Linked DNA regions of Saccharomyces cerevisiae S288C. Changing the gene in region 2 together with the main gene of any one other region gives a genetic interaction. Each region holds a gene or a part of one and is shown on either strand. Other genes may lie near its edges. The genes, in order: SUL1 and VSB1.

Region 1 (16,783 bases), on a different chromosome or scaffold from region 2:
TTACTGCTGGTTGGTGTTTTAGTATTCGCCACTTTCTCTATCTTAACAATGTTGATTGTCTGGAAGGGTTCTCCAAACCTACACTTGGACGATTTATCTGAAACTGAAACTGCCGTATCTATTGTTCTCACAGGTGCAATTGCTTCGATCGTTTACTTCATCTTTTTCTACCCATTCTACAGAAGAAAAGTTTTGGACCAAGATTGGACACTAAAGTTGATTGATATTTTCAGAGGTCCATCTTTTTACTTTAAGTCCACTGATGATATCCCACCAATGCCAGAAGGCCATCAATTAACAATCGATTATTACGAGGGCAGAAGAAATCTTGGAACAACTGTTTCTGTTGAAGACGAAGAAAATAAGGCAGCGAGTAATTCTAATGATTCCGTCAAAAACAAAGAAGACATCCAGGAAGTGGACCTGGTTAGAACTGAAACTGAACCAGAAACAAAGTTGTCAACGAAACAATATTGGTGGTCATTATTAAAGCAAGGACCTAAAAAATGGCCCTTATTGTTCTGGTTAGTAATCTCTCATGGTTGGACTCAAGACGTCATTCATGCTCAAGTTAATGATAGAGATATGTTATCTGGTGACCTGAAAGGAATGTACGAAAGATCTAAATTTTACGACAATAGAGTAGAATATATCTATTCGGTTCTCCAAGCCATTACTGCAGCCACTATGTCTTTTGCTCATGGAGCTAATGACGTTGCCAACGCTACTGGTCCTTTGTCTGCTGTGTATGTGATCTGGAAAACTAACACTATTGGGGCAAAGTCCGAAGTTCCCGTGTGGGTTCTGGCTTATGGTGGTGTTGCCTTAGTTATTGGTTGCTGGACTTATGGTTACAATATTATCAAAAATCTAGGTAATAAGATGATTTTGCAGTCGCCATCAAGAGGCTTTTCAATTGAACTAGCTGTTGCTATTACTACTGTCATGGCTACCCAATTAGGTATTCCTACCTCAACAACCCAGATCGCCGTTGGTGGTATTGTCGCTGTTGGTTTATGTAACAAGGATCTCAAATCAGTTAATTGGAGAATGGTAGCCTGGTGTTATTCTGGTTGGTTTTTAACTTTACCAATTGCTGGTTTGATTGCCGGTATCATAAATGGTATCATTTTGAATGCTCCTCGCTTTGGTGTGGAATACCAAATGACATAATCATAATGTGTTTCGGTTATGAATACAGTTTTACAACATTAGGTAGAACTTTTATTGCTCAGTGACTTTAAAGTTAAAACATTTCTAATTTAAAACCTTAAAGATGCATTAATTTTTTTCTAATTTATCAGTTGATCTGCAATTACCTGGCATGGCTATGTGTATTTTTTTTTTTTATGAATTCCATCATATTAAATAGAAAACTAAACTAAATAATAAATAGAGTATTACAGAGTCGTCAAAAAAAAAAAAGAAAAGAAAAAAGAAAATCTACAATCAAATAGCAGCAGTACCTGGACTAAATCTTTGCATAACGCAGAAGTATAGCTACAAAAATTACAGGGAGGATACTAACTAGTTCCCCTAAACCCGCATACTCTGGTGGAATATGAAAGTCAACAAAGGCACCAGCCGCCAAAAGGATAGCAAATAAGTTGTAAGTAAAACTCCATAAGAAATTCAATTTGACCCTAAACATGGCCTTTTGACTTACAGTTATCATAGTCAAAATATTGTTGAGCTTTGGCTTTAACATAACTACATCAGCAGCTAGCTTGGCAACCTCACTTCCCTCATTGATATGAACTCCAATCGTTGCTTGAGTCAAACCAATTGCGTCGTTTGTTCCGTCACCGCAAAAAACAACAACCGGTCTTTTTGACTGCGAAGAACTATCGCAATTTCTTCCTTCGACAATATCCTTAATATATTCACTCTTTTCTGCAGGCGTTGCGTGAGAACGAATATTGGAGCTTTCAATTCCAAGACGGGCTGCCATAGAACGAACGGCTCCATCGTCATCCCCTGATAAAATGTGTAGTGAAATCCCTCTTTGGCGTAACAAGTTAATAGTGGAGACAGCATCTGCCCGTAAAGAGTCCTCTAATGCATAAACTGCAGTGACTGAACCATTAACACTAAAACAGAATACAGAATATCCTTGTTCAAGGGCTTTTCGAACGTCAGGATCATTGTTATGACCAAGCCAACGACAGTTCCCTCCTTGTAACTTCAAACCAGAGTATGATGTTCCTTCTACCCGCTTACCAGTCACAGCTTTTGTATTAGAAACATTTTGAGCAGAAACACCTTTTTCTTTGAGATAGGATGCTATTGCCATGGAAACTGGGTGTTTTATTCCTTCAGTTAATCCAAGCAACAAAGATTGAGAATTATGACGATCACCCCTAACAGTTTCATGTACTACAGTAAGTTTTCCTTCAGTTAGGGTACCCGTTTTATCGAAGACAACATGCGAAGTGTTGTGAGCAACTTCTATACTCTCTGCTGATTTGAAGATTACCCCTCTTTTCGCAGCGACGCCACTTGCAATAACAAATACGATAGGAACGGCAAGTCCAATCACGCAGGGACACGAAACGATAAGTACCGTAATGGCATATATAATGGCCTGAATTACGGCATCGGAGCGGGATTGCTTTTCCACACGGATTCCAACCGCTATCCAAACGCAAAAGGTGACGACAGTGATTCCAATGATAGTTGGCACGAAATAACTTGCAATTTTATCAGCGATATTTTGGATCTTTGGCTTAGTTAATTTTGCTTCATCAACCATCGTGGCTATGGTACTAATAGTATTGTTCCCTGGAAGCTTGCTCAGCTTCACAAACAAAGTACCAGTGCCATTCACCGATCCTGCAACAACAATTGATTGACACTTTTTCGGGACTGGCATAGATTCACCTGTGATTAACGCTTCGTCGACTTCAGAAGACCCAGAAATGACTGTTCCATCAGTTGGGATTCTTGAATCAGGTAAAACCTTAAAAATATCGCCATATTGGAGAAGTCTAATATTAATTTCCGTCTCTTTACCAGTTTTATCCACCAGAATAGCAGAAGAGGCCTGTAAGGAACGTACTGATATTGACTTTACAGCCCTATGTCTAGCTAGTTCACTCACAAAGCGACCAACCATGATGAGAGTTACAAGCAAAGAGCTGGTTTCAAAAAACTGCTCCGTAGATAACGGGCGTCCAACAACGAAATATCCAAATGATACAATCGAAAATATGTAGGCAGCGCTAGTGCTTAAAACTATTAGTAGATCCATTTCAATGAGCCTGGAAAATATCAAACTCTTCAAGGCATTTAAGTAAAACGGTCCTGCAATAACAAATTGAATAATAGTTGCTAGCACCATTGACGCGGAGATAGTGGAAATTTTTTCACGAAGCTGTGGAGCCCAAGCCATCACGAGAATCGGGATCGTCAATATTATGGATAAAGCGGTCGTGCAGCCTACACGAACTAAATGCTTCCTTCCCACTTCAATGGTTGGATGACAACTGAATGGAGCAATACTAACAGGCACGCTCCATCCTTCATTGACAAGATCTCTGGCACCTATAACCTTTGGGTCAAAGTAAATACGAATGATATTTCTCTCAACAATTTTCAGCTCTGTGACACCTTGTGGCCATTCCTCATTAATAAAATCTTTTGCTGCATAAGGAACAACAACATCTATAGTTGAACCATGATTTGAAATCTGTTCGTACTTGAATTCAGTAGTTTTGCTCAAGTGCTTGATAACATCCTTGACAGATCCCTGAGCAAGATCCAGATTAAATTCAGCTTGCGATAATATTAAACTGGTCTTCAAACCGTGAACACATTTGAGCGCGCCAAATGATTTCTTAAGTTTTGATTCACAACCAGTACAGGACATTCCTGAAACACTAAGAACAATGTGCTCGGTACCGGTAGATCCTGCCTCAAGATTAAGATGATTTTCAATTGGTTCCATTGATACGATTCTTGAAATTTCACTCGAAGAGTGTCCAGAAATAGTTGAGGTAACAGCACAATCCTTCATTTTAGTGCAACAACTTTTAGAACAAACAAAATCAGCATGGCCATTGTCATTGCTCAACCTTTCTTTGTCTCCATGGGTCTTTTTCTTTGTTAAACATCCAGAACTGTTGCGGTAGGAGTATTTTGTCTTTTTAGAAGCACCCTCCCCGCTACAAAAACGCACCTTTGGGAGACAACAAGATTCTTTTCCCAAAGTACGCAAATAGTTACAGATACAACCTAAATTTTTCAAAATTGAGGAGTAACGATTGTACATTCTAGAGTACTGTTCGCTGAAGAACTTCTCGCTTAAACTGTCGGTAGAGCTACTCCCAGAAATTCCAACATTGGTGCTACCTTTAAAAGTCCTCTTTTCACAGCTACGAGATGCAATCCGCTCAACACATGAAATGTTGCAGCACTCAGGCTTACTGGAAACCTCAATTTTCTGTCTGCTAACTTTACAACTTCTTTTCTTGAGTGTAGAGTCACTTGATTCGATGCAAAGCCTACCCTTCCCTGTGTGTTGGTTGGAATTGGTATTGCAGCGAGTTGTCTCTCTAATATCATGAATAGATTGCAGACCTTCAGATTTGCTTGGAACAACTTCAAAGCTGGTCAGCAATTGTTCTTTAGAAGATACAGCTTCGCAGCTGCCTGTAACTTCCTCGACCATCACTGAAGAATCTCTAACGCAGCATCCATCAACACAGGATTCATTGGTGTGGTCACCACCTGTTTGAGCATCGCCGCAACAGCTGTCCACATCCAAGCCAGTCTCAGTGTCGTTCACTTTCTCAGCACAACATTCATCTACACGGGATTCATTGGTGTGATCACCACCGGTTTCAGCATCGTCTACATCTAACCCAGCCTTAGTCCTATTCTCGCCATGATGGCATATCTGCTCAGTCTCACTCAAACATTCCTGAGGAGTAATTTTGGGCCGATTGGTACAGTCTCGCTGGGAGACCAATCCCAGATTGTCATTAGCATGCATTTCTATGGATCTACGATGACACTCGCCTCTATTATCTTGCATAGCATCTATTGATATGTTCTCGCTATTTACCACTCCATACTCGCCATCGCTGGTACCTAAACCGGAGAAGAGTTTTTCCGGCTTCATCGTTATCAGCAGCTTTGGGCTCTTTCATTGTATAAATCCTGGAAGCATCTCGAAAATATCTTGCTTTTATATTTATAATTGCACCTTATTTATGCCAAGTGTAGGCTTTTCATGCGATTTTAAAGAAAAATTCCTTGTTGGCGCCTAAATTTTGATTACCTAACCCATACATTCGTTCAACCTTATATTTTTAGAAAGGCCTGTTATCAGATCATTTTCCGAAAACTCTTCAGAACCAATTTCAAAAAGACAACTATTTGACACTTTGTTGGTTTTCTTCAAAACAGTGATGGATTCATCCGCTCGAGGAGCTAAAATGGGGAATGAATTCCTTCCAAATAGAAATAGTACTTACTTCATTGTATTGTTGGAAAATATAAATCGATATTAACAATAAGAAAATTATTCCATTATTGATTTATGAGATTAAAATCACACAGCCTACATACAACTCAATAACGTTATCTGCCTTGCAAAACTGCCTCTGTATATATATCGATGATCTTCAAAATATACTATTTTAAGAAGTGTTTTAATTGAAGGATTAAAGTACAGGGTAACTTTTTAAAATTCATTGTATTGCTAAAATAGTATTTTTCTTTTCAGATTCATAACAAAACATAATTTCTTCCACATTAGGAGAGACAAGCCGTCCAAACTCTTTCCGCCTAAAAACCATGAAATAAATTCAAAAAAAATTAGGAAAATGTTGCTCTATCTAGCATAAGCTTAATACTTAAATGCATTTTTATTTTTATTTTTGTATTTTCAAAGGACATTTGTAGAAAATAGGCTCAAGCTCAAGTTAACTTCTAGACCATGTCTTTTCAGCGCCTTAAACTACTGAAAACGGCCCTTTTCGTGTACTAATGCTTTCAGGAAATTATAAAATTTATTTTTACTTTCGCCATTCAACATACTCAAAATAATAAATATTCCAGCTATTTGATGGTAATCTACATTAATAACACAATTATCTTTTCATGTATAACTAAAAACAGGGGGGGTAATTAAAGTACTTACTATCTACTACACTAAACGTCCCATTTAGAAAAATCGGGTATATCGATATGAAAAAACGGTAAATTTGTCCCAGTTGCAGCACATAATGTTTCATAGTTACTGTAAGATGTGCTTATACGGCTGTCTTCATCAGTATAATCCACATCATCCTTCAAAACTTTTGCAACGTGAAAACTAGAATGGCCAGCGATAATAGAGTCGTCACTATATTCCTCATTTGTAGTTCCGAATTTAACACTCAAAAGACTTCTTTTGATCCATGGAGATATAATTCCGGCAAAATGGAATTCGACTTGTCTATCCGCATACCTATTCACAGCTTTTCTCAGATCAACCAGGCTTTGAACAGCGGTTGAATCCACTTGAGCAACTTGGGAAAAATCCAGGCAGACGACTTTCAGTAGCGGCTTTTCATATGTTTCTCCGTTACTGCTTCCATTCGATATCGGTAGGTCACTATTCGTTGTTGCTGAATGACGTTTAAATTTAAATAGTGATTTCAAAGAATCTGGCATTTTCCATTCACCAGGATCATTCCATGGACGGTCTGACTTTTTCCTTAAGGTTATAAGTTGGCCTCGCCTTGTTTCTTCCTTAATACGATCAAATATAATGTCATAATGCCTTGAGCAGTTCACGTAAGTAAAGCTATCACCCAAACGATAGACTATGACACCTGGTGGAGGAGGCCGAACTGTGGTATTGATATTCAATTCTCTTGAGTATCCATGATCGAACGGAACCCACTTTACGCTAAACTTATACTCTGGGGCTGGTAAAACCTCAACAGTAGACTTAACCTGTTTATTCAGTTCATTAGGTAATTCATTAGATGATATCACAGCATCAATATCCTCTTGTACTGTTGGGTTCAATACTTCTGCCACCTCAACACGACCAAGGAATTTACCAGCAGGGAAAGCCTGTTTCAATAGTAACATTGCACATGACCAACACATTGCAAAATATATACCATTTTCAATGGATGAAAATACTGTGATGAACACTGTAACGATAAATGAGATACAATCTAACGGGTTGGTCTTCCAGAAGGTCCAGGTGGTTTTGTAAGAAGTCAGCAAATCAGAAACAGCATGAATAATAACCGCCGATAGTGTCGCTTTAGGAATGAAAAAGAAGGCGTCAGTTAAACAATAAAGTGCTAATAGAACGCAACCGCCAGTGAATACCCCAGAAAACGGAGTGCGCACGTTACATTTTGCTTTCAAAGCAGATCTGGAAAATGACCCAGTTGCTGGATATGAGTGAAAAAATGTCCCTATCAAATTTGTCACACCAATCGCAATAAGTTCTTGGTCAGGGACAACCTTGTAGTCGTTAATTCTACCAAAGGATTTTGAAATAGCGATGTGTTCTAACACCAGAACGATAATTGAAGCAGGTATTTCTGAACTCATATTAGATAGCAGACCGTCTGGGATTTTCATAACTCCCACCTCATTTAAGCCCGAGGGAACTGTACCCAGAATACTGATTGGACGGTCTTTTGAAGATTTGTTTCTTGTTATGCTCCACGATATGGCAGTAAAAACTACTATGACGACGGCATTTCTCATAGCTTGTGCATAGAAATAGAAGGATTTCAGTCTATTTGCTACCTTTGGTTGATTTCGATAATATCTATCTGCCAAAGTTATACCAAATGTACCACACCACCATTTCCATACATAGAGGATTACCAACGGAATCAAGCCAAAAACGGCGTCTAACTTTGTGTTTGGTAAATGTTTCAGAGTGTTAATTACAACCTTATACGTTGCTTCTCTGGTATTCACTAATGAGTTGTATCCCATGAGAGCCGGAATTTGACCCCAGATGATGTTAAATGCGGAACCGGTCATGAAGCCAGCAACAGCATTTAGAGAAATAAGTTCCACTAAAAAGCCTAAACGCAGTATACCCAACCCAGTGGCGACAATCCCACAAAGCAAACAAAGGGTAGTTGCAATGATAGGAGCTGTAACTTCTGTCTGGTCTTCGGGATATTTTTTTAGAACTTCAGCAATGACTTTGGCAGTTTGTAGTGACATTACAGCGACCGGACCAATACAAACATCTTTCGATGTGGCAAACAAAGAATATATAAACGCACCAATAAAGGAGGAATACAAACCATATTCAGGAGATAAACTAGCGATTTGTGCGTATGACATAGATTGGGGCACGAGTACGCAGCCAACTGTAATTCCTGCCACTAAATCAGCATAGCCCCACGTAAAGTTATAATGAGGAAACCATTTTATAATAGGAAAAAGAGATACGAGGTAACTTCCTGCCGATTTCGCAGTTAGATTGTTTTTGATAGAATGATCATAGTACTCCTTCAAAGTGACTGTGCTCTCTTCATACGCTGGAATGGAATCGTACAGGACATCTGATAGCTCATTTTTCGTTACCCCAAATTTCTGCTTACTACTATTAACCTTCCAATTTTCCTCATCACCATTGTGAAGTCCGTCTCTGTTTTCTGCCGCCTCAGATTCCCTATATGTGCGGTATTCTGATTCAAATACTTCGATATCAGCATCCTCCTGATTATGCACATATTCAGTCGAGCTCTTACGTGACATATTCTTTCCGAGTATTCTGCAGGGATTTATTTTTATTTTTAAAGCTATTGACCTGGTTTTGAGACGTTAATGTCAGCTAATATACTTTTATATAATCGGTTTCACAATTTTAAATCGAAAATTTTTCTACAATAGAAATATTAAGTTTGAGCAGTACAAGATCCATGTGCATTACAACACATTTTACTTCACTATTTATATTATTCTTTTGGTCTTTGTTTCTTTTTTTCACAGTGCATAATTTCAAATGACAGTGTTCGAGAAAAGACATGAACAGGTAGAAGTGTTCAAAATTATTATGGGTCTAATTTGACAACTTGTTCGTTATCGCTTGCTGCGTGGGGAAGGTGTGGAGTTTTTCTGGGATCTGTGACTCAAATTCCGATTTGCAAAATTGCAAAGCCGCACTGTGGTTCCAGCGAGACTATAAGAAAAAGTCAGATTTGGACAATTACACGAGATCTTTATTAAAAAAAGTGCACTCGAGGTGGCGGTAACACAAAAAAGTGGGGGGACTTTACAGCAAGTTTTCTGAAGCCTTTTTTCATTGGTTTGTGACTATTTTAGGTTATCACAGCCACATCTTATTCACAGATTATGAAAGTAGTATGTATTTAGTTAAAGTTTACAGAGGATAAAAAAACTATAGAGATAGTTGCATTCGCTCACAGTTCAGCACTGTCGGTCAATTAGAAACGTTGCAATTCCACGAAATACAAAAAAAGTTTAGTGTCAAGTAGAATATCTAGTTTCAATACTGTTAATGTATCAATTGAGTCGGTCAAGGGCATAGGTATATATTGTTTATCTTCTTGTTTTAGGTTTCGCCAGATTGTCTTTAAGGATGCAGAGTATCAGGGCCAATGAAGAGAGTAATGTAGACATTAGATGAGCCCTCTTTGTTGCCTCATCAAAACTCTTTATGACTGTGTTTTTAACTTCGCCATGTAAAGATCCAATATATGAGGAGTTTGCACTAAGCTGAACAATAAGTTTCTTTATCTTGTTTTCATCCAGTAGACCTTTCAAATTACTACGCAATAAACCTGCGAAAGATAATTGAATGACGCCAGCTGAAATTGCAACACCCCATACAGATCCAATACTACGGAATAAATATAAAGTTGATGTCGCAGTAGCTTGGTCACTCTTAGAGAACATAAATATGAAAGTAAACAAGGTCGTAGGAAAAGTGATACCTTGTCCTAGATTTGCAGGTATCAAAAATAGACCAATCAACCAGTTCGGAGAAGTTTTTTCAATAAACAGGAATAAAAAGTTACCCAAAAACATCAAAGAAATACCAATGTAGAGTAATAATCTTAGACAGTTGTACTTGCTCATGGAAAATCCTGTTATGAGACTGCCTACCGGAGTAAATAGGGAAGGAATCGTAAGACGTAATCCTGCTTTTGCAGTGGAATCTCCAAGTACAATCTGAAAGAATAATGGTAAAGTAAAAAGATACGCGTAGCTGGCAAAACCAACAAGTATACTTATCGAAAGTACAACGACACTGTAGGAGGAATTGACCAGCTCCATAGGAATAATCGCTCTAGCACTTGTTTTCCTTTCGTGCAATATGAACAGTAAGAGGATTATTACACTCCCAACTAATAGCAGTAGCACAGAAGGGCTGGTCCATGATAATTTAGAAGTAGAACACCCCAGGCTCAGGTAAAGAAGCTGTAGTGTGAGACCAGTTATAATAAGAATTGAGCCCATAACATCTATGTCCCTGAGTATTTTTCCGGGATTTTGGAATATGCTAGAATTTTGACGATTATATTCTTTCTGATTAGGTACATAATAATTCATTAATATGGAACTAATCACAGATATGGGTACTTGGATGAGAAAACACCACCTCCAACCAATGCTCGACGCTATTGTGCCACCGAAAGACGCTCCACATATGGCACCAAATCCCAAAAGTAAATTCTGAAACGCTTGAAAAATTCCTCTTTTCGAACTTGGAATAACGTCTGAATTTACGATTGTAGAAAGTGTGATCAAGCCACCACCTCCTATGCCTGTCAATGCTCTCATAAAACTAAGCATGTAGATGTTTTTCGAGAAACCACAGGCTAGACATCCAATGGTAAAAGCCCCATTAGCAAAGAAAAGGCAGTTTCTTCGACCAAGTGCATCAGAAAATGACCCATAAAGAGGTTGAAAAGATGTTGATGTAATTAAATACGCAGTGGTGATCCAATTTGAAATACTCATCTGATTAAATTCGTTACCAATCGTTTGGTACGTCGAAGCTGTAACGGTTCCGTCAAAACCGGACAAAAAGACATTAGAAAAAAGAGTAGCTTCAATAATCCATCAATTTGGGATTCTTGAAAGCGCTATATCTTCGCCTTTGTCCAAGTCCTCATCTAAGTCTTCACTGTAGTCGACAGAAGGAATTTCAGTCTCTTCAATACTGCCATAGTTTCCATCCTTGCTTTTCGGTAGTACTTTGTGTTTACTAGATTTAAGCATTGCGAAAAAAAATCTGATTTGGAATTAATGTTTCATTTACTACATTTTAAAGCATTTTGTACCATTCAGAGGCAAGAATTGGCCAATACTGTGTGTTCTTATAACGATAACTAGTATATATATTCTCGAAATTGTATATTTCTGTGGATTTGCACACAATCATCTAATAGCAAATTAGGAAGAAAGCCACACATGCACATATATCGCATCACTTACCGAGCCTTAGAATGTGGTTGCCACACATTAGGACATGTTACCCCCCGCACCTAGCAGAAATATAGTATTAATCTATCAGTGCTCAACACAATGTGATATCAGTACAATTCTTCATGCCATGGTACGTCGTCTCTATTTTCTTTTATATTCTGTTTATTATATCATGTTCTAAAAATGTCATATATACAATTCTGAAAAGGTTTTTGACCCTTACGTAACGCTATTCGGTCAACTACTTGTGAGACATATATTGTTCAAATATGTAAATGAAGAAAAGTACGCCTATTACTAGGATCCACAATACCGTAAAGCCTGTTAAACAAGGAGGAACAATATATATATCATAATTTTTTTAGAAAGAAAAGCCAAAGAAACAGCATTTGCAGGCACAAATCCGTGATAATAATGCATAGAACAATATGTGAAACCCCACAAGGTTACTGGTCGGATGATGAGCGAGCCCAGAGAAACCAACAGACCTCTGTAAACATCACTATGCCTTATCACCACACTTTACCATAATGCATTGAAAGTGCAATTGGAGAAGCCACCAATAGACGAGCTATGATGATATATTTAGCGTCCCTTAAAATATCGACTTATACAGTGGATAACATTTCCGCTCGCATTCCTCGAAGAGCATTATTTCCAAACTACTGTTGAAAAAAAAAAAATACGAAGACGACGCTTACCTGAGCACCCAGGATGTACACTTCGCCACAAATTTTGAGAGGCCTTTTGTTGTGATATTAGTTGAAATATATAACCACTTAATCAGGCAAAAAGACAGCAGTCACTATTTCAAGTTGGTAAAAAAATCCTGTTTTCGCTAATTGTCGATTTGGCCTTTCACCTGGACTTGAAAGCTTCAATTACGGCCTGATACATTCATTCTTTATACTGACCTTTGCCCAATTTATTATCCAGAACTATAGCCATTAGGTTGCAGGCCACTGGGACCACCACTGACTGGAAAATATTCTATTGACGAATTTTCCGCAACTCATCGCTGATTAGTTTATGAACTTATCCCGTCGGAATGAGAAAGTTACATATGCAGGAATTCTCTACAAGCAGCAATAACATGCTTTTATTTTACTGTCGTATTGTAATTGCTTATTCGGTTCCAAACATGTCAGCTATGCCAATATTTTAGAAGAGTGGGAAAAAAAAGAGATGTTATAGACGAACGACAAAAGTTGTGAAAAACTCGAATGGAGTAATGGAGCAAGAAACAAGAATCTGTCATAGTCAATACGTGATTTTGATATGCTTTCAAGCTTCTGAGAACTTCATTCATTACACTCCACCACATATACTATACAACGAATAGCCCAGTCGAAGAGGTTATGATTGTGTTCATTTATTTTTTTACATGACAGAGTCTCCCTATTGATACTAAGCTTGCTGCAATAACTCTTCTTACTAAGAGGTAACTTACATCTTGACTTTTTAATGAAGTTCCCAGCCGATTACCATTATACGTCGCCGTTTCGTTCATGTAAATATTCAAATATACTACACTTTATATCTTTGCTTCTTATATTTTCGCGCGTAGGTTTGCCTAATTACATTTTTATATTCCTCATCAATAAAGCCGCCAACAAAGAGCACAGGGTAGAAACTCTGCTGTCTGGGAACTCGGCTAACGCTTGTAAGCTATTTAATATTCTCAAATCATTTCAACACCTCTTTTTTTTTTTTCAAATATGTACTATTTTCTCTATTTCCATTAAGTTAGTCTTACTGAAGAGTCAAGAATATGGAAGAATTCCTGCGGAATTTTCAATTATTAGAAGTGAAAAAAAAAAAAAAGAAGAACAATGAAATTTAGTCTCACTTTAGCGTGATATATAAAACGTAAAATGTCGAAGCCAACGTAAAATTAAAAACATTTTGATGTCACAATGAAAGAACTCCAAAGTAGAGCTTGAATTATAAATTAGCATTTTACCGATGTCCAGTAAAGCTACCAAAAGTGACGTAGATCCATTGCACTCGTTTCTGGCAGGGTCCCTAGCCGGTGCTGCTGAAGCATGTATAACATATCCTTTTGAGTTTGCCAAAACAAGGCTGCAGCTGATTGATAAGGCCTCCAAGGCATCAAGAAATCCTCTGGTATTGATATATAAAACTGCAAAAACTCAGGGCATTGGTTCCATTTATGTCGGATGTCCCGCATTTATTATTGGAAACACCGCTAAGGCGGGTATTAGATTTCTTGGCTTTGATACCATTAAAGACATGCTAAGAGATAGTGAAACTGGAGAACTAAGTGGTACAAGAGGGGTGATAGCTGGGTTAGGTGCGGGACTATTAGAAAGTGTTGCCGCAGTGACTCCTTTTGAAGCAATCAAAACTGCTTTGATCGATGATAAACAATCTGCTACACCAAAATACCATAATAATGGGCGCGGTGTAGTACGAAACTATTCATCATTAGTCCGTGATAAAGGATTTTCTGGTCTTTATCGTGGTGTTTTGCCAGTTTCCATGAGACAGGCCGCAAACCAAGCCGTTAGATTGGGTTGTTACAATAAGATTAAGACCTTGATCCAAGATTATACGGATTCGCCAAAAGACAAACCTTTATCATCCGGGTTAACCTTCTTAGTGGGTGCATTTAGTGGTATTGTGACGGTCTATTCCACCATGCCCCTTGATACTGTGAAAACAAGAATGCAAAGTTTGGATTCCACCAAATACTCCTCTACAATGAATTGTTTTGCAACCATTTTCAAAGAAGAAGGGTTAAAGACGTTTTGGAAAGGTGCTACGCCTAGACTTGGGAGATTGGTCTTGAGTGGTGGTATTGTTTTCACTATCTATGAAAAGGTCTTAGTTATGCTAGCCTGAAATGTATTATTGTGTACAATATATCATCTAATGTTTTCTACTCGTTATAAGTCTATTTACCAGCCGATCACTTAAAAAAGTTATATATCTCTTTTTATCATAATGAAGAAGATGGCTTATGCTTGATTTTGACTTTGGTTGAGGTATTTCTTTTCCAATTTTTTGACTTGAATGTAGTCGTATATACTCTTCAGGGTGATAAATAGCCCAAGAAATGCCACAAAAACAGCCAACCATGGTATGTTTTGTTTTTCTTCATCCAGACCGTGATTCAAATGTGATTCAAATTTATCTTGTGTCGTTGATTGTGAATTTAGACGAACATCATCGAATTCATTTGGATCCTCTAATTCCATTCTATTTAAGCTTTTATTTTTGCCGACTTTTGAAGTAACATCATTGGGAATCATTGAATAACCATATCCAATGAACGTTAACCCTAATCCAAACCTTGAACCTTGCTTTGCTGCGTGAGATGTGTGTAAAATGTAGGTTATTAAAAATCCAATGAACTGAAAACTCGTGCTTACGATGATATTCCATAATAAATTTGCTATATTTCCTACAGGAAGCCCCTCAATGCATATTTCGTCGTAGTAGATATCTGAATTGTTCAAATCCATTCCATAATACGAGGGGGCCATATCAGCAGCAGCTTCGTCGTATGTAGGTGGTATGTCTTGTTCGTTATTACCTTCAGTCTCTGTGGTATCTGGTTTTGCGCTTAAATTGCTAAAGACACCATCAAACATGGCACCTTGTTGTATATCCGAAGACTGTTGTGTACGTTTCTTAAAAAGTCTATCAAGAATATTAAAATGTCTTCCTATTTTTCCTATATGTCTGGCTGCTTGTTCCCTCAGCTGGTGTGGTACTAGTCTTTCTGTCGTACTATTTCCTCCACTGCTGCTTCCCTCGTCCTCTATGCTATCTTCCTCGTCAGACCCTATTTCCGTTTCCCCTTCTACGCCAGTTTGTGTGTCTCTAGTTCGTCCTGCGTTTCCGACATTTATGCCATCAGTAGATGAACCTGCATGAAGTGTATTCATTTCTTGCCCTATAAGTAGTTCTTGCTCTGGCATAGCGCTTAGTTTCCTAGACTACGTGTTCTTGTTATTCTCATGCTCTTTTTATGTATCTAAATTGGAAGATTTTTATAAAGGTTATGTACTATTCTTCTAAAAAAAGTAGGCGCAAAGGGACTCCGCATCGTATAACACGATGATAATACAAATTCTTCCACGGTTATTTACATCTCCGGTATATTTTATATATGTGTATATATTTTCTATGTATTCTGTGTGTTATTGTTACTGCTACCATTATTGCTATTAGTCAACAATGTCGCTTCGCTATCATGTGGTGCTACTGGAGGTGCTATAGGAAGACTAGGTGTAGGTACCGATTTACTAGCTGCCCCACCTGGGATTACTGGCTGCAGTGTGGGATTGGGTGAATTAGTAACAGTGTGATTGGCAATCGGGTTTGGGATTGAAGGTATCGTCACACCAGCGCGAATGTTACTATTCAGCTTAGTTTTCAGCGATTCTGGACTCGGAAGCATTGCATTGGTGCCACTACTTGTGTCATTGGGCGCTGCTGCGAACTCTTCTTTTGTATTAACTTTCCCAGGCAGTTTAATAGAAAGTAGTAGCGAATGACCCGGAATATGGTCAATAATATAACAAGGAGGTGAAACTGGCTTAGGTCTATCTGGCCTGCTTTTATAAGTGGTTGTGTTTCTCAATTCGTACGATTCCACAGAAGGGCCTACGTCAACACCACCAGGCATTAAAGTGCTAGGTACTGGAGTCCTGAAAGTTCTTGGAATATCTGCAATATCTGGCAGTAAAATCTCTCCTGGTGGCAACGATGAAGCATTTCCTGCTGCTACTGTGTTGTGAACGCCGTTCATAGATGTATTACTTGCAGATGTGCCGGACAATGCGAGCATACCACGTCTATTAGATCTACCTTGTCTTCTTTTCCTTCTTGTGTCTCTGTCCTTATCTTTATCCAATCTCTCTAACTCTGCAGCTGAAATCTGTAATAGGTTTGGAGTAAAAATTTTGCTTTCCGCTGCAGGCCTATAAACATCATCAAGAGTAATCGTTGGGAGCATTCTGCTTCTAATGTCATCATCTTCTATCGCTGATCCATCAAAATTGTAACCTAACAGTGCCAGTGATTTATGATACATATGAACTTGCTCTCTTATGGAGTGAGCAATGGCAGTCACAAACTCACCTGGTAGTTCTAATTCTTGACACATGGACTCTGCAAACTCTTCTGGACAGTTATCACTATTAGAGATGTCCCACTCAAATTGATCGATTAACTGGTTTTGTCCCACGACAATATCCAGCTTGATTCTAATTCTCAAGTCATCACCGCCTAGACGGTCCTGATTCAACTCTATATATGGATTTCCTTGAAACTCCTGAATCTGCTCTTGTATAGATTGACAAATAGTATCAATGTGTTG
Region 2 (17,385 bases):
ACAGTGCAGACAACATACCATTCTTATCCATCGTTCTGTCATATATATCATCGTTCTTGTGCTTGCTACCCCGTGGACCCTCGTACATCTTAAACCTGAGAGCAGCTGCACGCAATTAAAAGAAAGAGGTCAATCAACTACGTATTCAAAACATGCTATTCAATATCAACCGTCAAGAAGACGACCCCTTTACGCAATTGATCAATCAATCTTCGGCAAATACGCAAAATCAGCAAGCGCATCAGCAGGAAAGCCCTTATCAGTTTTTGCAAAAGGTTGTGTCCAATGAGCCAAAAGGTAAGGAAGAGTGGGTCTCGCCATTTAGACAAGATGCCCTCGCCAATAGGCAAAACAACCGGGCATATGGGGAAGACGCAAAAAACAGAAAGTTTCCTACCGTAAGTGCTACTTCTGCCTATTCAAAACAGCAACCTAAGGATTTAGGGTACAAAAACATACCAAAAAATGCTAAGAGAGCCAAAGATATTAGATTTCCAACTTACCTAACTCAAAATGAAGAAAGACAATATCAGTTACTAACTGAGTTGGAACTAAAGGAGAAACATTTGAAATATTTGAAGAAGTGCCAGAAAATTACTGACTTAACTAAGGATGAAAAAGATGACACTGACACTACTACTTCTTCGTCCACTTCTACATCATCATCGTCATCGTCATCGTCATCGTCATCGTCATCGTCTTCATCAGATGAAGGGGACGTTACTTCTACTACCACATCTGAGGCCACTGAAGCAACTGCTGACACTGCAACTACGACAACCACTACCACCAGTACTTCTACTACCAGCACTTCTACTACTAATGCTGTCGAAAATAGTGCTGATGAAGCAACTTCCGTGGAGGAAGAACATGAAGACAAAGTGAGTGAGTCTACTTCAATTGGCAAAGGCACTGCTGATTCAGCTCAAATTAATGTAGCGGAACCAATCTCATCCGAGAATGGGGTGTTGGAACCACGCACTACAGATCAAAGTGGCGGTTCAAAGTCAGGTGTCGTGCCAACAGACGAACAAAAGGAGGAAAAATCCGATGTAAAAAAAGTCAATCCTCCCAGTGGGGAAGAAAAAAAGGAAGTGGAAGCGGAAGGGGATGCAGAAGAGGAAACCGAACAATCGTCTGCAGAGGAATCTGCTGAGAGAACGTCTACTCCAGAAACCTCGGAACCGGAATCCGAAGAAGATGAAAGCCCAATCGATCCAAGCAAGGCTCCCAAGGTCCCTTTTCAGGAACCTTCTCGAAAGGAAAGAACCGGAATTTTCGCTTTATGGAAAAGCCCTACTTCTTCATCTACCCAAAAAAGTAAGACCGCCGCTCCATCCAATCCAGTGGCCACTCCAGAAAATCCTGAATTAATTGTAAAGACAAAAGAACATGGTTACCTATCAAAGGCAGTTTATGATAAAATCAATTATGATGAAAAAATTCATCAAGCATGGTTAGCTGATCTTCGAGCAAAGGAAAAGGATAAATATGATGCTAAAAATAAAGAATACAAAGAAAAGCTACAAGATTTACAAAATCAGATTGACGAAATTGAAAATTCAATGAAGGCCATGAGAGAAGAAACTTCTGAGAAAATTGAAGTTAGTAAAAACCGGTTGGTCAAAAAAATCATTGATGTTAATGCCGAGCATAATAATAAGAAACTAATGATATTAAAAGACACTGAAAATATGAAAAACCAAAAGTTGCAGGAGAAAAATGAGGTCTTGGACAAACAAACCAACGTTAAGTCAGAAATCGATGATTTGAACAATGAGAAAACGAATGTCCAAAAGGAGTTCAATGACTGGACCACGAACTTAAGTAACTTATCTCAACAGTTGGATGCTCAGATCTTTAAGATTAACCAGATTAATTTGAAACAAGGCAAAGTTCAAAACGAAATCGATAATCTGGAAAAGAAAAAGGAGGATTTGGTTACCCAAACTGAAGAAAATAAGAAGCTGCATGAAAAAAATGTACAAGTTTTGGAAAGTGTAGAGAACAAGGAATATCTTCCACAAATTAATGATATTGATAATCAAATATCAAGCTTATTGAACGAAGTGACCATAATCAAGCAGGAAAACGCCAATGAAAAAACTCAACTATCGGCAATTACCAAAAGACTCGAAGATGAGCGCCGCGCTCATGAAGAACAGTTGAAGCTAGAAGCTGAAGAAAGAAAACGCAAAGAAGAGAACTTATTGGAAAAACAGCGCCAAGAGCTGGAGGAACAAGCGCATCAGGCTCAATTAGATCATGAGCAGCAAATTACTCAAGTCAAGCAAACCTATAATGACCAATTGACTGAACTACAGGATAAGCTGGCAACCGAAGAGAAAGAACTGGAGGCAGTCAAGAGGGAAAGAACGCGATTACAAGCTGAAAAGGCTATCGAGGAACAAACTCGCCAGAAAAACGCTGATGAGGCCTTGAAGCAAGAAATATTGAGTAGGCAGCACAAACAAGCTGAAGGTATACACGCGGCTGAAAACCACAAAATACCAAATGACCGTTCACAAAAGAATACGAGCGTCCTTCCAAAGGACGATTCCTTGTATGAATATCATACTGAGGAAGACGTCATGTATGCCTAAAAAAAATAATATTCCACTTTTGTTCAAGGAATATCCCACCTCTATTTTATTTTTCTCTTCTATTCTTTGTCGAGTATCATCAAGTTATCCTTTGATTATTTTCACCCTTCCTAATCTACCTCTCTTTGTAACCGTTTTATGTACCAATATTTACTCAATCAACAATTTATCAACCAGTTAGTTATTCTCTAGTGTTTCGTGCTCAAATAACCGAGTAAGATGGACTCTCTTCTGAAGCACTTTTGCGGGCATTTAACCTCAGCTCGTCACGTGACGGTCGATGAAAAATCCAGGGTATTAAAACTTTCCTTTGGTTATATCGGTATATTCTAAATAAAAGAGAAGCTTATTCTGATCCTTTTGATTCCCTGCTCAATTTTTCATTGAATTGTTTATTTTTGTCATTAATGAAGCTTTCAACCCCATACAGTGTTTTTGCATTTTGCATTTGTCTTTTTCTTGCTTCGTATCTTTTTTTCGACTCAGATTGCAAAGAAACGGCCAACTTATTAACTAGCTTGTCGTCATCTGCAATTGTTATCTTACCCGTCTTAGTGTCCTTCTGTACCTTGCCGATTCTACCCTTCTTGGGTACGTTTTTATTGTCTTCTTCATCGGCGGAACTATCCTGTTTGCTCGAATTCTGTGTTTGCGTAGCGAGATTCCGCAAGGTCTTCTCATAACTCAATTTTGCAAGTTGATCATAGGAAATTCCACCTCTTTGGCTTTGCCCAGTCTTCCCTTGAGGATGCCTACGTTCCCACGCATCATATTCTTGGACAGTGTAATGAAATGCTTTCTCTTTTTCAGGACTTTCTGTATCTCCTACTGATTCATCTGCATCATTTACGTCTTCCATACTGTATACTCTTGGTTTTCGATTTGCGCTTACTTCCTGAATCTCTCTGTCAGCCAACTTCCTACTCTTTATAGATACATCTACTCTTTTCCTTTTCAACTCCTTCAGCTTCTCGTCTAATTTGTAAAAATCCATTCTTCGAATACTTTGACAAGATATGGTTTTGCTTCGCTTACAGTTCAATAGAGAAGTCAAACATTGTCATTGAGAGCCCCTCATCGCAAATATTGCTCTTTTAAGGAAAATATAGTAATATTCTAGCTTTTTTGTCATTCTACACGGAAATGTCTGTATTTTTCAAATTTTTTCATTATGCTGTAGCAGATGCCTGAAAAATTTGAAAACTTTGATGAGATGAGGTCACTGTTAAATTTGTAATATTATATGTCACACCTAGCGCTCCTTGAACAGCAAATCATTCCGGAGGATAGTAAAGATTCAAAATGCCATCCCTGTCTCAACCATTTAGACTAGCAACTCTCCCAAAAATTGCTTCATTGAGCAATTTTTCTTTACAAGCAGATTACGTTCAAGTCGCAGATGGCACCTTTAATGAATCTACAAATAACATAACGTTAGGTATTTCCGGGTCATCTATATCTCAATATATTATTAATCCTACACCAAAGTTAACATTCGATTACCCAATACCCTCTACAAATATTATCACGGCATGCAATGCTGAGAAAGGTCAAGCGAACATTGACGGAAATATAGAAGCCAGTACCGATGATGAAGCCAACAACGAGAAGACTATCAACACCCAAAAAAAAAGAAATGTTGAAATTTGGGCCTTTGGTTTAATGGTAAATAAGGGTAATTATACGCTAAATGTTATCACTAAGGCACTGGAAGATACCACTGATACCTCAAATGACCATCTGAGTGAGAGTGATATTGACAATAAAGCATACACGGGTTCAGACGAATTTTTATCTCAGTATAAGATCAAGGCGAAAGCCAAAGTCATGAGTATTAAAATTGACACCAAGAACAGCTTAGTAATTGCAATTTTACAGAACGGGTTGATTGAAATTTTTGATTTTAAGTTAACACTTTTGCATTCATTTGATATATCTTATGATAACTTAAAATATGCTAAATGGTTCACTGAAAATGGAACTGAATATGTTTTTGTTCTCTGTCCATTACAGGATGATAAAGTCTGCTATAAATTGCTCGAGCTAACAGATTGTGGCAGTGGAGAAAGTTCGCCCATAAAAGAATTATCATCTACTATCATCGAAGGATTTTCTTTTGAAAATTCAAAGCTTTGTTATCAATTTGGAAAACTTTACAAATTGAACCAGGGGAAAATATACATTTACTCTTTACCACATTGCCAATTGCAACAAGTTATTGAATTTCCGATGGTGGATAAACTCAGTCCTGGAGATGACTTAATCTCTTTCCAACCTGTTTCAGTAAACAGAGTTCTACTGACCGTAAACAACGTCATTTATCTACTAGACTTACTGCATTGTTCTACTTTAAGCCAAAGAGAATTAACTCACGTGAAAACATTCCAACTATTAAAATCTGCAGTGATCAATTCAGAAAAGTCGCATAATTCAAAAACAATAGCAATTGGTATTTCAACGAAAAATGGACCAAACCCAACGTCTTCCTTAGAAATAATTAATATTGATGTTGGAACTAATACGTTGAAGGACTCATTAGGCAAGAGTTTTCAAGTTGGAAATAATGATAGCTCAGTTATTTTAAAGCCGCTATTTGATGATAAAGACATAAATGACAAGAGAGTGAAATGTAACGACGTCAGCGGGGATTCAAGCGTTCCAGTCCTCCACTGTAATGAAGTTATTGAAAAGCTTTCAGCCCTTCAAGATAATGACATTACATCATTTGATGACATATTTTTCAAAGAACTAAAAATCAAAGAAGAACATTATACTGAAAAAGATAGATATATTTCTGATCCTGGCTTTTTGAATAAAGTTTTAGATCTAATTTTCGGAAAGTTTAGCGGAAATGATTATCCAAAAACTTTAACGTTTTTATTGACACACCCATTGTTTCCATTGAGTCGTACACGCAACTTGCTATCCTTACTAAGAGACCAACCTAGATTATTTAAACAAGCAATTGTAACATGCCCAAACTTGCCATTAAATGAACTACTTGAAGAATTGTTTTCTATCAGAAACAGGGAACTATTACTTGATATCTCATTTAGGATTTTGCAGGATTTCACCAGAGACTCTATTAAACAAGAAATGAAGAAACTAAGTAAATTAGACGTTCAAAATTTCATTGAGTTCATAACAAGCGGTGGTGAAGACAGCTCACCAGAATGCTTCAACCCTAGCCAAAGCACGCAGCTATTTCAACTCTTGTCCCTTGTGCTAGATTCTATCGGGCTATTTTCATTAGAAGGTGCTCTATTGGAGAACTTAACCTTATATATTGACAAACAAGTTGAGATTGCTGAAAGAAATACCGAATTGTGGAATTTGATTGATACGAAAGGTTTTCAGCATGGGTTTGCTAGCTCAACCTTTGATAACGGAACTTCTCAGAAGCGAGCCTTACCCACTTACACCATGGAATACTTGGACATTTGAGTATGCAATGAATTTGATTGTATTGTATAATACCTATATAGAAAAGGAACTAATATATATAGCGTCTACTGTGGTTACTGATAAACTAACAGGCATTTAGAATTTGAAAACATCATATACATTAGATGTGTCCAACAAGAGATACCGGAATGTTCTGAGGGGAAGAAGATGGAATTTAAAGCTAGTTTGAAATAAAATGGAAGATTGTGATTTTTACAATTTGAATTTAAACCTTTTTTCCTCCTTAGGTGAGGTTACCGAATACTTGCGCACGTCTTCATCTGAGCTATAAAGGACCCTTTCTATAAAGGTAACTCTCGTTGAATCCTTACTCACGAGTAAAACTATTTGAGAGCGAGTTCCGTAGTAATCACCATCAGGAATTGAGGCACCTAAGTCATCCCTGGGAGGCCTCCGTAAAGGTGGTACGTATATGGTATTCATGGTTACATTTGGATCTACCATCTGCAAGACATCTGGGTTTGAAATAGTGCTTGGAAGGGAAGACTTCGAGGCGAGTTGAAAGCAACTTGATATTATTTTCTCCTCATCTGATTCAATATTCTCTAAAACTAGATTTTCTAAACTATCACGTGCTACCTTTACTTTTTCCCAAGCCTGCCCTGGTATACTGGAGCTGTCATAAAATTTACCATTAGAAACAACCATGTAAGAATCAAGATCTTTCCTACAGGTAGAACTCAACACATCAAAAGTTCTTCCTAGAGAATCAATAACTTTATATTGCTTTTTGATAACGTCGCCGTAAAAAAAATTAAAATCACCTGTGGACTTCAACCCATCATAGTGACCTTCAAACTTTTTGTAATTATCCCAATCTTCAAAATCTGCTTTATGGATCGACAAAAATATAAATGGTAACAGACCACGGGATCTTGATTTCGTATTATTTTGCTCATTGTCAAGTTTTAAATTAAGAATAGTGGCTAATTTTCCTTCTTTATTTATGCCAGACCAAGTGCCAAATATTTGTTTTTCTGCTGAGGTTTTGGCCAGATCGTAGGGTGAAAGGATAAAATCATTGTTATGCCAGCATGTAGCATGTGTTTTTCTTGCCAAGAATTCGTCTCTGTTAGATATTAAGATGAGTTCATAGTCAGGATGTGCCCTTGTGGCCATTAAAATGCACATTATTTGTTCGTTAGTTTTTGGTTTTTAATACTTTAGCCACAGGTGTGTTAATAAATGCAAGCGTTTCTTTCCTTTTCTGCCTCACTTCATATACTACTATCCTACTCCACTTTCAGGGGGAGACTATTTTTTTAGCGCTTTAGGAATTGAACGAAAAAGTCGAAAGCTAGGCAGATGCCAAGAATATAATGTGAGGCAAAAAAAAAAAAAAAAAAAAAAAAAGAATGATTCTGAAGTAAACGCATTGCGAACTAAATGTTGCTATGCCACTTAATCGAAAATTCTATGAAAAAACCCCTTGATCCCCTTTTCTGATTTATGTTTTTGATATTTTTCGATCCTCTTCTTATTCTTCTCTACTGCCATGTTCAACTTGTTTGGTTCTAGAGAAGAACCTTGAGAATTTGTAGTAACCTTGGATCGTGTCGAATGCATATCTGTATGGTCGTTAATATGCTCTTTTTTAGTTGAGGATACGCGAGAGTCCTCCCTCTTCAAACTTTCAAGCGTCTTCAATTTGACCAACCCGGTTTCAGTTTCTAAACGATACTCTTCTGGAAATGCAGCATCGTGAGCTGAGTTTGTTACTGGGGCGGTAATATCCGGAAGAGCTTTCTTGTTCAAATTTAAACCATCTTCTTTTAAGGAATCAACTGTTTCTGAGTTGCCCTCTAAAGCATTGTGGGTAACCATCTTTTCTATCGAATTTGAAGTTGGCCTTTTTAAAGTACTAGAACTGTGATGAGAATGCACATCTGAATGACGGTGTTGATCATCTACATTACTATCATCTTCCAGTTGCCCCTTTCCAACAATGGTATCGTTTTTTAAAAGAGGCTGTTCTGGAGCTTCAGAATCTTTGAACCCAGTAAAGGGCTCCGGTTTGTAAGAGTCAATAGAAGAAAAGGACGATATGTCTTCATATTCATTATCGGTAGTGACAGTAACAGATGGGACAGGCATAGTCTACGTTGATACGTTGTTATGACTTTGATTTGTTAATGCGGATATAAACTAACCGTACAACTACCCGTTGTGAATTGTTGTGGTAGTATATTAATGAAAAAAGTAACGGTATTTTTTTTCTTTAGGAGAGCAATTAAGTCAAGTGAGGTATGTAGTTGCTCATCGATGGGAATTATCACTTTTCGTCTACGATAGGGGCCCTATCAAAGAAAATCGCGCAGTAAAATTCCGGAAGTGAAGACTCAAGTACAAAAAGTTTATAGTCGAGATGGTAAAAATCCTACAACGGCATCACTTATACAGATGCAGGAGCATCCTGCTTTTATTTAGTACTGGTGTAAATTACTTGCAATACGCCGGCAATAAAAGAAATTAAATAAATATACGTGTACGCTCTCATGCGCTAACAAGTGTGTAACCTAGTAATTCTTTGAATCTGGTGTCCTTGATACACATGACCATTAATGCAACCTCCACGTACAATGCTAGATTGTCTTCTTTCAATTTGTTCAACGAGCTAGAGTCTATAACCCATAATACGGAATCAGTTTCAGTTTCGATGGTGAGCTTTTGTTCTCTAGGCATAGCATTCCCTGGCGCAATGATTTTTCCGAAGCATGTGCCATTTGAAAAAATCTCGTACAAGGTTCCTTGTGGTAGTTCATATGTTGCCTTCAACATACCTGTTTCCACAAGGAAAAAAATGTTGTCTGCATGTAGTAAATGTGATTGACTTGCTAATCTGCGCCTGGTGAAGTAGGGGCAGAGTTGTGCCCAAAACTTGATTTCCTTTTCTCTTACTTTTTGAACTTCAGATATTATATCGGGTCGGTACTGCTTTAATGCAAATAACAATATAGGCAGGACAGGTTCATCATCTTTGTACTCCTTTTTGAAATTCTTCACTGCTTGTTCGTCGTTTACAAATACATTCTGTGCTACAGAAAGTATTTGGTAATTACGAGGAGTATTGGTTGGTAGTGACATTAAGTTTCTCGCTGTGTCTCCATTGCTTCCCCTGTTTAAACCATTTCCTATTGTATCAATTTTTTTGTTTTTAGTGGCTGCAATTACTGCGGATACGACATTATTTTGCTTTCCTTCTTCCAATCTTTCTTTCGCCTTTTTTCTTAATTGTTTATATTGAAAAAGGAATTCGTTTTCACACCATTCCAACGCACTGTTTAAATCAGCAAATAATTCCACATCGTTTAGTAATCCCACATTATTGAAGGCGTTGTAAATACGGTCCCTTTCTTTGATTGAAGATATGATTAGTTTGATTCTTTTGGTTTCCGTGAATCTTTTAATTCTATTGAAACCTTCTGCCGCAGAATAGTCAATATTGTCGGCATTAATATTTTTAAAGTCCAATATTAAATACTTTATTCTGCGTTTTGTTGCATCTTTGTTACTTATTTGCAGCAATCTTTCAATTTTCTCTTCAATAGATATGATTGTTCCGAAAAACAGAAGGTTTTGGAGCTTTAAAACATATATTTGTTCACCAATTCCATCCAAAAATTTTGTTTGAACGTAATCACGATATACTGTACTTCTTGCGACGTTCCCATTATATTCACCGTTAATGGTTTGTAATTTCGTACTATCCACCAAAAACGAAAAACATGCAATTAAAATGCCAACGATGATACCTAGGACAAAATCAAAGATACCCATCGTGAAAACAATAATGACAACAGTCAAATATTCGAATCTATTCAATTTATTCCATGTATCGACCAACGCTTCCACTAATAACTCGTAGCCTAGTAGGAAAATTAGAGAGCCCACTATACAGATTGGAATGAATGATATTATGACTGGTCCAATGATCATAATACAGATAGTCAAAGCTATTAAAAGGAACCCAGCGAATGGCGAATCAGCGCCCGCCCTAATAAACAGAACACTGTTGGTATATACCAAGTAATTTTGGACAGAACCTAATAATCCACTAAAAAAGTTGGAATAACCATGTGCAATCAATTCTCTGTCAACATCATACTTATCCATTTGTAGTGACATAGCCAACGCAGGAACATTTATAGGAACATGTAGGATACCAAAAAATGTCAATGCCATCATCGTTGGTATTTGTTGCAAAACTAGTGACCAATGAACTTTATGGACATTAAATAATCTATAATGGTCATACCATTTACTATCTGAGTTGGCAATAGGAAAAATCCATCCAGCTTGTCTCAAAGCATCCAAGGATAATGTTGGAATGATCGCAACAATAAAATGAAACAAAACTAACGTCAAGATGTAAAAACTTGGCAAAACGAGTGAGTTCTTAAAGTAGCGTTGAGTGCCGATTAAAACTACAGTCAATAGTACAGGTAATAACCATTTCGCTAATGTGTCATAATCCGTAAACAGCCCTGAAAAAAAAGGCCATGAATATTCAAATTTCGCCACCCTCGTTGTGACTTCAATTCCTGTAATTATCAAGAAATAACCAACACCTCCAATACAGCCAATCAATATGTGTCGTGGAAAAAATCCCACTATCTTTCCTAGTCGTAGTTTACCCAATGCATAGAAAACGACACCTGTGAGCATCGAACTTATCACATAACAAAATATCGTTGTCGTTATGATTTCGTCATCATTACCTGCTAATGCCTCTTTTATAGCTAATGCCATTGTATGATAAAACGGAGTAATTTCAATCATTTCACTCCCAATCCCGGAAGGAAAACTCGACCAGCCTCCGGAGTACACGGCTTGTGATATTATGGTGGAAATATAAAACATGGATATACCAGTGGGCCCTAAATGAGAAAAAACTGGCTCTGTGATTGGAAAAATGATCATACCATAAGATAAGGCATCTAAAATGTTCAAAAGCAAACCTAACACTGCTGCGGGCAGATAATGTGCAAATTTGGAAGGAAATGACGTACACATATGCCACAAGTTTCTTGGCCTAAACCTTAAATTATGGGAGGGACGAAGTGACTGATATCCGCCCGCGTAACCATCTTCTAATTCCGGTAGTGAACTATTCTGTAGTCCTCGATTTCGGTCATCGTCCACGTTAGACGATGCTGGGCTAAGTAGCAATCTGGAGTACTCATCTGAATATTCTTCATCAATATTCTCTTCTATAGTACGCATAGATTGATCATCTTTTCTATCACCATTGCCTATAATGTCCATGTAATCCTTAATTGTGGGAGAATTTTCTTCCACAGAAGAGGAGCAAAATTCATTGGATAGTTGAGCTGTCTGCCTATGCAAATTTTCTGATCCATGTATCACTTTAGGATGTTGTTTGTTCGAGATGGGAAGTTTTGAATCCGACAAATTATTGATCATAGGTGAGTTTCCACCAGTAAAAAATCCGCTCATGTATGAACGGCATAATGGAGGAGACATTGCGCTAACACTCGCTCTATGCATCTTGTTCACAGATGAGTCTTGATTTATTCCTAAAGAAACTGATATGGCCTCCGAAAGCGACGAATTACTCCGGCGTCTCCTAATAGTCCTTCCCATATTTCTAAATTAAATTTTTGAGATTTTAAACTGTCTTGCTTATAGACCGGTGGTAGCTCTGAAATGAAACGATTCTTTTTGATTGTTATCTGGTTCCTTATCAACTCTGTTACCTTATTGAAAAAATAAAGAAGGGCTGTGAGATGGAAAAAAAAAAAAAAAAAAAAGAAAAAGAATGCAAAATATTATTTAAAAAGGGATAGCTTGCCGAGATTACTTGTTGGAGCCACAATTTGAAATCACCTCAAGAAATAGAACATTAATATGATTCAACTGTGACTGTTATATATATAGTCATAGTCCCACACATTTTTTGGGATCCACTCAGGGACCGATACGTGGGAAAAAGAACCTTGATAGCGCGAACTTCCTAGGGAATTTTTCATTTTGCAGCATAAGGATAGATAGATAAATAGATAGATAGATAGATAAAGAGAAAAAAAGCGAGATAAGAAATTAACTAATCAATCGGCTGCAGTATTCCATGTGATATCTACCGAAAGGGTTTCATATCGTAATTCGAATCCTATAGATAAGTAACCTAAGGGGTCAGCAGATTGAAAACTTTTATTATATACATATATCTATATAGATTAATATCCGTTTGTATCACCGCATTTCTTGGTTCACTCGTCAATTATAAGAATACGATTGCGCTCGTATTAAGCACTGACGTGCTTTTCGTGTATTTTGGCGTATCTACCTGAAGGATCTTCGGCACAACCCCAATCGGCCTTTGGAATCCATCTCATGACAGTGTCTGCCGCAGTCTTTTGAGGAAACCAAGCATCAAACTTCAGCCTGTACCAGTAAGCTTCTTTGGTGGTTGGAATATCGTCGCCCCAATCAGCCTTTGGATTGGCAAACATGGCGTCAGAAATGGCCCTTTCAGCAGTGTCTCTTAGGCCGTCAATCCATGAGTAGCCAACACCATCGGAAAATTGTTCCTTTTGTCTCCATAAGATTTCTTCAGGTAGGTATGGCTTAACATCTGGTTCATCTGTAGTGTCGAATGCCTTTCTTAAAATGTATTTTTCGATACGTCCTTCCTTTGGCTTGATCATCTTTTCATTTGGATCAATGTTCATACATAGCTGCAAAAAGTCTTTGTCTAAGAAGGGAACACGAGCTTCTAGACCCCAAGCCATCGTGGACTTATTAGCTCTCAAACAATCTGCCAAATGCAAGTTCTTGACACGTTGCACAGATTCGGTGTGAAATTCTGCAGCAGAAGGTGCTTGTGCGAAATATAGATAGCCACCGAATATTTCGTCCGAGCCTTCACCAGAAAGAACCATTTTGACACCTTGGGCCTTAATCTTTCTAGATAGTAAGAACATTGGTGTAGAAGCTCTGATAGTGGTAACGTCGTAAGTTTCCAAATGGTAGATCACGTCGTCCAAAGCATCCAAACCTTCTTGTAATGTAAAAGTGTGTTCATGGTGGATAGAACCAATGAATTTGGCGACTTTTCTAGCCGCTTGTAAATCAGGTGCATTTGGTAGACCAATCGCAAACGAATGCAAACGAGACCAACCGGATGTGTGTAGATGGCCTTGGTCATCGATACCTGCAAGTTGCTTCTCGTCAACATTGTTGTCTTCGTTAGCATCAGCATTAGCTTTTTCCGTTTCACGAGCAGCAATCGCAGCAATCAAAGAAGAGTCCAGCCCACCGGATAGAAGAACACCGTATGGAACTTCAGCCATTAGCCTCTTTCTAACGGCCTTTTCTAAACTGTGTCTGATAGCATGGTAGTCAACTGGGGTGGATGGGATACGCTTTTCATCCAACCAGTCTGGGGTAAAGTAACGAGTAATCTTGTCCGTTTCAGAATCGTAGACATGACCAGGAGGGAACGAAATGATACTGTCACAAACGTCAGTTAGACATTTTAATTCGGAGGCAAAATAAACGGTCTCTGGAGACTGAGAAGAACGCCCCATGTATAAAGTGACAACACCGATAGGGTCTCTTGCAGCGACAATACGGTCTTTCTTGGAATCATACAGACAAAATGCGAACATACCGTCCAGATATTTTGGAGCATCGATATCATGTTCCAAATATAACGGTATGATGGGTTCACAGTCACTGAAAGTTTGAAACTTGTAATCAGAGCACATCTCCCTTAGTTGGATGTGGTTGTAGATCTCACCATTAACGCCAAGCATATATTCGCCATCAGCTGAAGTGATTGGCTGGGCACCGGAGTCTAAACCAACAATAGCCAACCTCTCGTGAACGAAAATGGTGGAATTCATAACGGCATTTCCTGACCAATCTGGGCCACGGTGTCTGATTTTTTTAGATAGTTGTAGAGCTTTTGGTTTGAAGTTGTGAATATCTTCATGCTTGAAGGCTGCAAAGATACCACACATATTGTATTGTAGTGAGTATTTGTGTTTTGGTGAGCTTAACTGGGAAGCAAAAAAAATAGTATAAAAGTTAAATTAGAATAAATGAAACTAAGCAAGTGGCAAATCTTTGAAATATGCGATTCAAAGTCATAATTTTTTCAAGAAGAGAGGCTGGATGAGGCTTTACTGATTTTCTGGAGAAATCTTGCCATGAGTCAATGCTAAGAAAATTTGCAAAAACCCGCGCCGTGCGGCACCCATATGTGAATAAAGCTTTACTAGTAGATAGAAAATGTAGACCATTCCTGCAGGGTCCATACTACGGACGTATGGCTTTGTGAATCGTTTCACAAAGCCAAAAGAATGAACCCAATACGCAAGGTCCAGTTATGCAGAGAGCAGCAGGATAGCGGCTGTTGCACGCAACGAGACTGTTCTCTCATGTTTTCCACGATTTGATATATCCCCCTCTTAGTAAATACAGAGCCGTTCGAACGGTTTCTTTAGTAAAATCCAGGCTCCACCTTGATGGGAGGCATGATGAGTTCCAATTAGGAATGAGCAGGAGCTCACTTTAATCTTGTTATCGCAATGTGGAGTTAGCCTTAAGAACGTGTCCAAACCTCTTATGTATTGTTTTGTTCGTAATTTGATCGCTTTGTACGTGCAAATCGCTCTCTGCCCACAGCAGGAAGGACCACATAAGTGAATAAGTAAGTGGTGGTTCTATGATTTATCGGGATCTTATATTTGCATTCTAAAAAGTAAATGGTCTCTAGCGGGATCGAACCGCTGATCCCCGCGTTATTAGCACGGTGCCTTAACCAACTGGGCCAAGAGACCTATTTTTTTCGGAAGTCACTGATTAATAGTTTGATAATACAGGTGTAAAGAGTAGTATTTTCATGTGTCGCATTGTGTATGACAACATATGTGCGTTCGAAATAGATATAAGGCTTCTAATTTTCAAAGAAGGCGGTATCGTTAAGTATATGCATATGTTACGGTTTCACCTTGAGGATTAGAACTCTAAAAAAGGAAATAAGAGTGCTACAAAAAATGACGATTACTTCTTTTTTCGTTCTATGATATCGCCGCTCATTGTTCTATTACATCACCAATCCTTGAAATTTCAGCTTCATTGAATTGATGATGCTTTTAATAGAAACCATTTATGTCATATTTTGAGAGCCATACATGATAATATTCTGGTAATATAATCATAAGTTATTGGTTGTAGTTGGCGTAATATTCCAGGATTACGAATATGTATTTTATTTTACGCCCGCCATGTTGTATTTTTTTATCATAAAATTTTACACCATGACAAATCTAATACCACTGATGCAGTGTACTGTTTATACTTAAGAAATAGGTAAATTTTGAGATAATTGTTGGGGTTCCACAATACTGTCTGTCATCTTCTGTTATTCTGAGTATTTTTTTTCCTTTTAGCAGTTTCTTGTTCGTACCTTGGCCACTGAAAATTCTGGCTGAGACAATTATCAGGAACACTTCTAGTCCTCAAAAGTTCCTTCTCATTTTCTTCTTTATGAAAATATTTTTTCAATCATTGTATGTATGTATTTCTTTTTCCGTTAAAACGCTAAACCAGGGAAAAAAACGACGGCGGGAAACTGAAAAATTTCACAGATGAGGTAAGAAAATTGGCGAAAACAGCTTATAGAGCTTGACACAGAACTTTAACAATTTTAGAGGCAAGAAATAACGCTTGCCTTGGTATAATCAAATATCTCGAATATGTCAACACCCACAGCAGCAGATCGCGCGAAGGCACTTGAAAGAAAGAACGAAGGAAATGTTTTTGTGAAGGAAAAACATTTTTTAAAGGCCATTGAAAAATATACAGAGGCGATCGATTTAGATTCTACACAGTCTATCTATTTTTCGAACAGAGCATTTGCTCACTTTAAGGTAGATAACTTTCAAAGCGCTTTAAATGACTGTGATGAAGCCATTAAACTGGATCCCAAAAATATCAAAGCTTATCATAGACGTGCATTATCCTGCATGGCTCTGCTAGAATTTAAAAAGGCTAGGAAAGATTTGAATGTGCTTCTAAAGGCGAAGCCCAATGATCCGGCTGCTACTAAGGCGTTACTTACATGTGATAGGTTCATTAGAGAAGAAAGATTTAGGAAAGCTATCGGAGGCGCAGAAAATGAAGCCAAGATCAGTTTGTGTCAGACTTTGAACTTGAGTTCATTTGATGCTAATGCAGATTTAGCCAATTATGAAGGTCCAAAGTTAGAATTTGAACAGCTGTATGACGATAAGAATGCCTTTAAAGGTGCAAAGATCAAGAACATGTCTCAAGAGTTTATTTCCAAAATGGTTAACGATCTTTTCCTAAAGGGAAAATATTTACCAAAAAAGTACGTTGCAGCTATTATCTCTCATGCTGATACCTTATTTCGTCAAGAGCCATCTATGGTAGAACTAGAAAATAACTCTACTCCTGATGTTAAGATATCAGTATGTGGTGATACGCATGGCCAATTTTATGATGTTTTGAATTTATTTCGCAAGTTTGGTAAAGTAGGTCCTAAGCACACTTATCTATTCAATGGTGATTTTGTCGACCGTGGTTCTTGGTCGTGTGAAGTTGCACTATTATTCTACTGTTTGAAAATATTACATCCAAATAATTTCTTTTTGAACAGAGGTAATCATGAGAGTGATAATATGAACAAAATCTATGGGTTTGAAGATGAGTGTAAATACAAATATTCACAAAGGATATTTAACATGTTTGCACAAAGTTTTGAGAGCCTTCCATTGGCTACCTTAATTAATAATGATTACCTTGTAATGCATGGTGGTTTACCAAGTGATCCTTCAGCAACTTTGTCTGATTTCAAGAATATTGATAGATTTGCCCAACCACCTAGAGATGGCGCCTTTATGGAACTTCTATGGGCGGACCCACAAGAAGCCAACGGGATGGGTCCTTCTCAGCGTGGTTTAGGACATGCTTTTGGACCCGACATTACAGATAGATTTCTAAGAAACAACAAATTGCGCAAGATTTTTAGATCTCACGAGTTAAGAATGGGTGGTGTGCAATTCGAGCAGAAGGGTAAATTAATGACAGTTTTCAGTGCTCCAAACTATTGTGATAGCCAAGGTAATCTTGGGGGTGTTATTCATGTTGTACCAGGCCATGGTATTTTACAGGCTGGCAGGAATGACGACCAAAATCTAATAATTGAGACATTCGAAGCTGTTGAGCACCCAGATATAAAACCAATGGCCTATTCTAATGGTGGTTTTGGTTTATAGTCATGCCTTTTCTATTTTGCTAGATTATTATCAAAAGCAGAAAGTCTGGG

Evidence for each region.
Region 1: mutations in VSB1 (region 2) and SUL1 are lethal when combined (synthetic lethality), as found in Saccharomyces cerevisiae (one large-scale study listed by BioGRID).

Annotation. Positions count from the first base shown.
Region 1 is NC_001134.8:781,188-797,970, reverse strand, and holds SUL1 (sulfate permease), read right to left. Parts: upstream 8,737-16,783; coding exon 6,157-8,736; downstream 1-6,156. Other genes in the region: PHO89 (Pho89p), read left to right, coding at 1-1,173; cation-transporting P-type ATPase PCA1, read right to left, coding at 1,472-5,122; VBA2 (Vba2p), read right to left, coding at 9,541-10,965; YBR292C (uncharacterized protein), read left to right, coding at 12,898-13,269; CTP1 (Ctp1p), read left to right, coding at 13,399-14,298; BSD2 (Bsd2p), read right to left, coding at 14,415-15,380; SNF5 (Snf5p), read right to left, coding at 15,587-16,783. UniProt on the Saccharomyces cerevisiae protein: High affinity uptake of sulfate into the cell.
Region 2 is NC_001139.9:736,612-753,996, reverse strand, and holds VSB1 (Vsb1p), read right to left. Parts: upstream 11,673-17,385; coding exon 8,562-11,672; downstream 1-8,561. Other genes in the region: YGR130C (uncharacterized protein), read left to right, coding at 153-2,603; SYF2 (Syf2p), read right to left, coding at 2,950-3,597; UTP8 (Utp8p), read left to right, coding at 3,906-6,047; YGR127W (uncharacterized protein), read right to left, coding at 6,261-7,199; YGR126W (uncharacterized protein), read right to left, coding at 7,470-8,162; ASN2 (asparagine synthase (glutamine-hydrolyzing) 2), read right to left, coding at 12,335-14,053; PPT1 (protein serine/threonine phosphatase), read left to right, coding at 15,794-17,335. UniProt on the Saccharomyces cerevisiae protein: Amino acid transporter involved in vacuolar uptake of basic amino acids for storage during nitrogen replete condititions. May function as an amino acid/proton antiporter.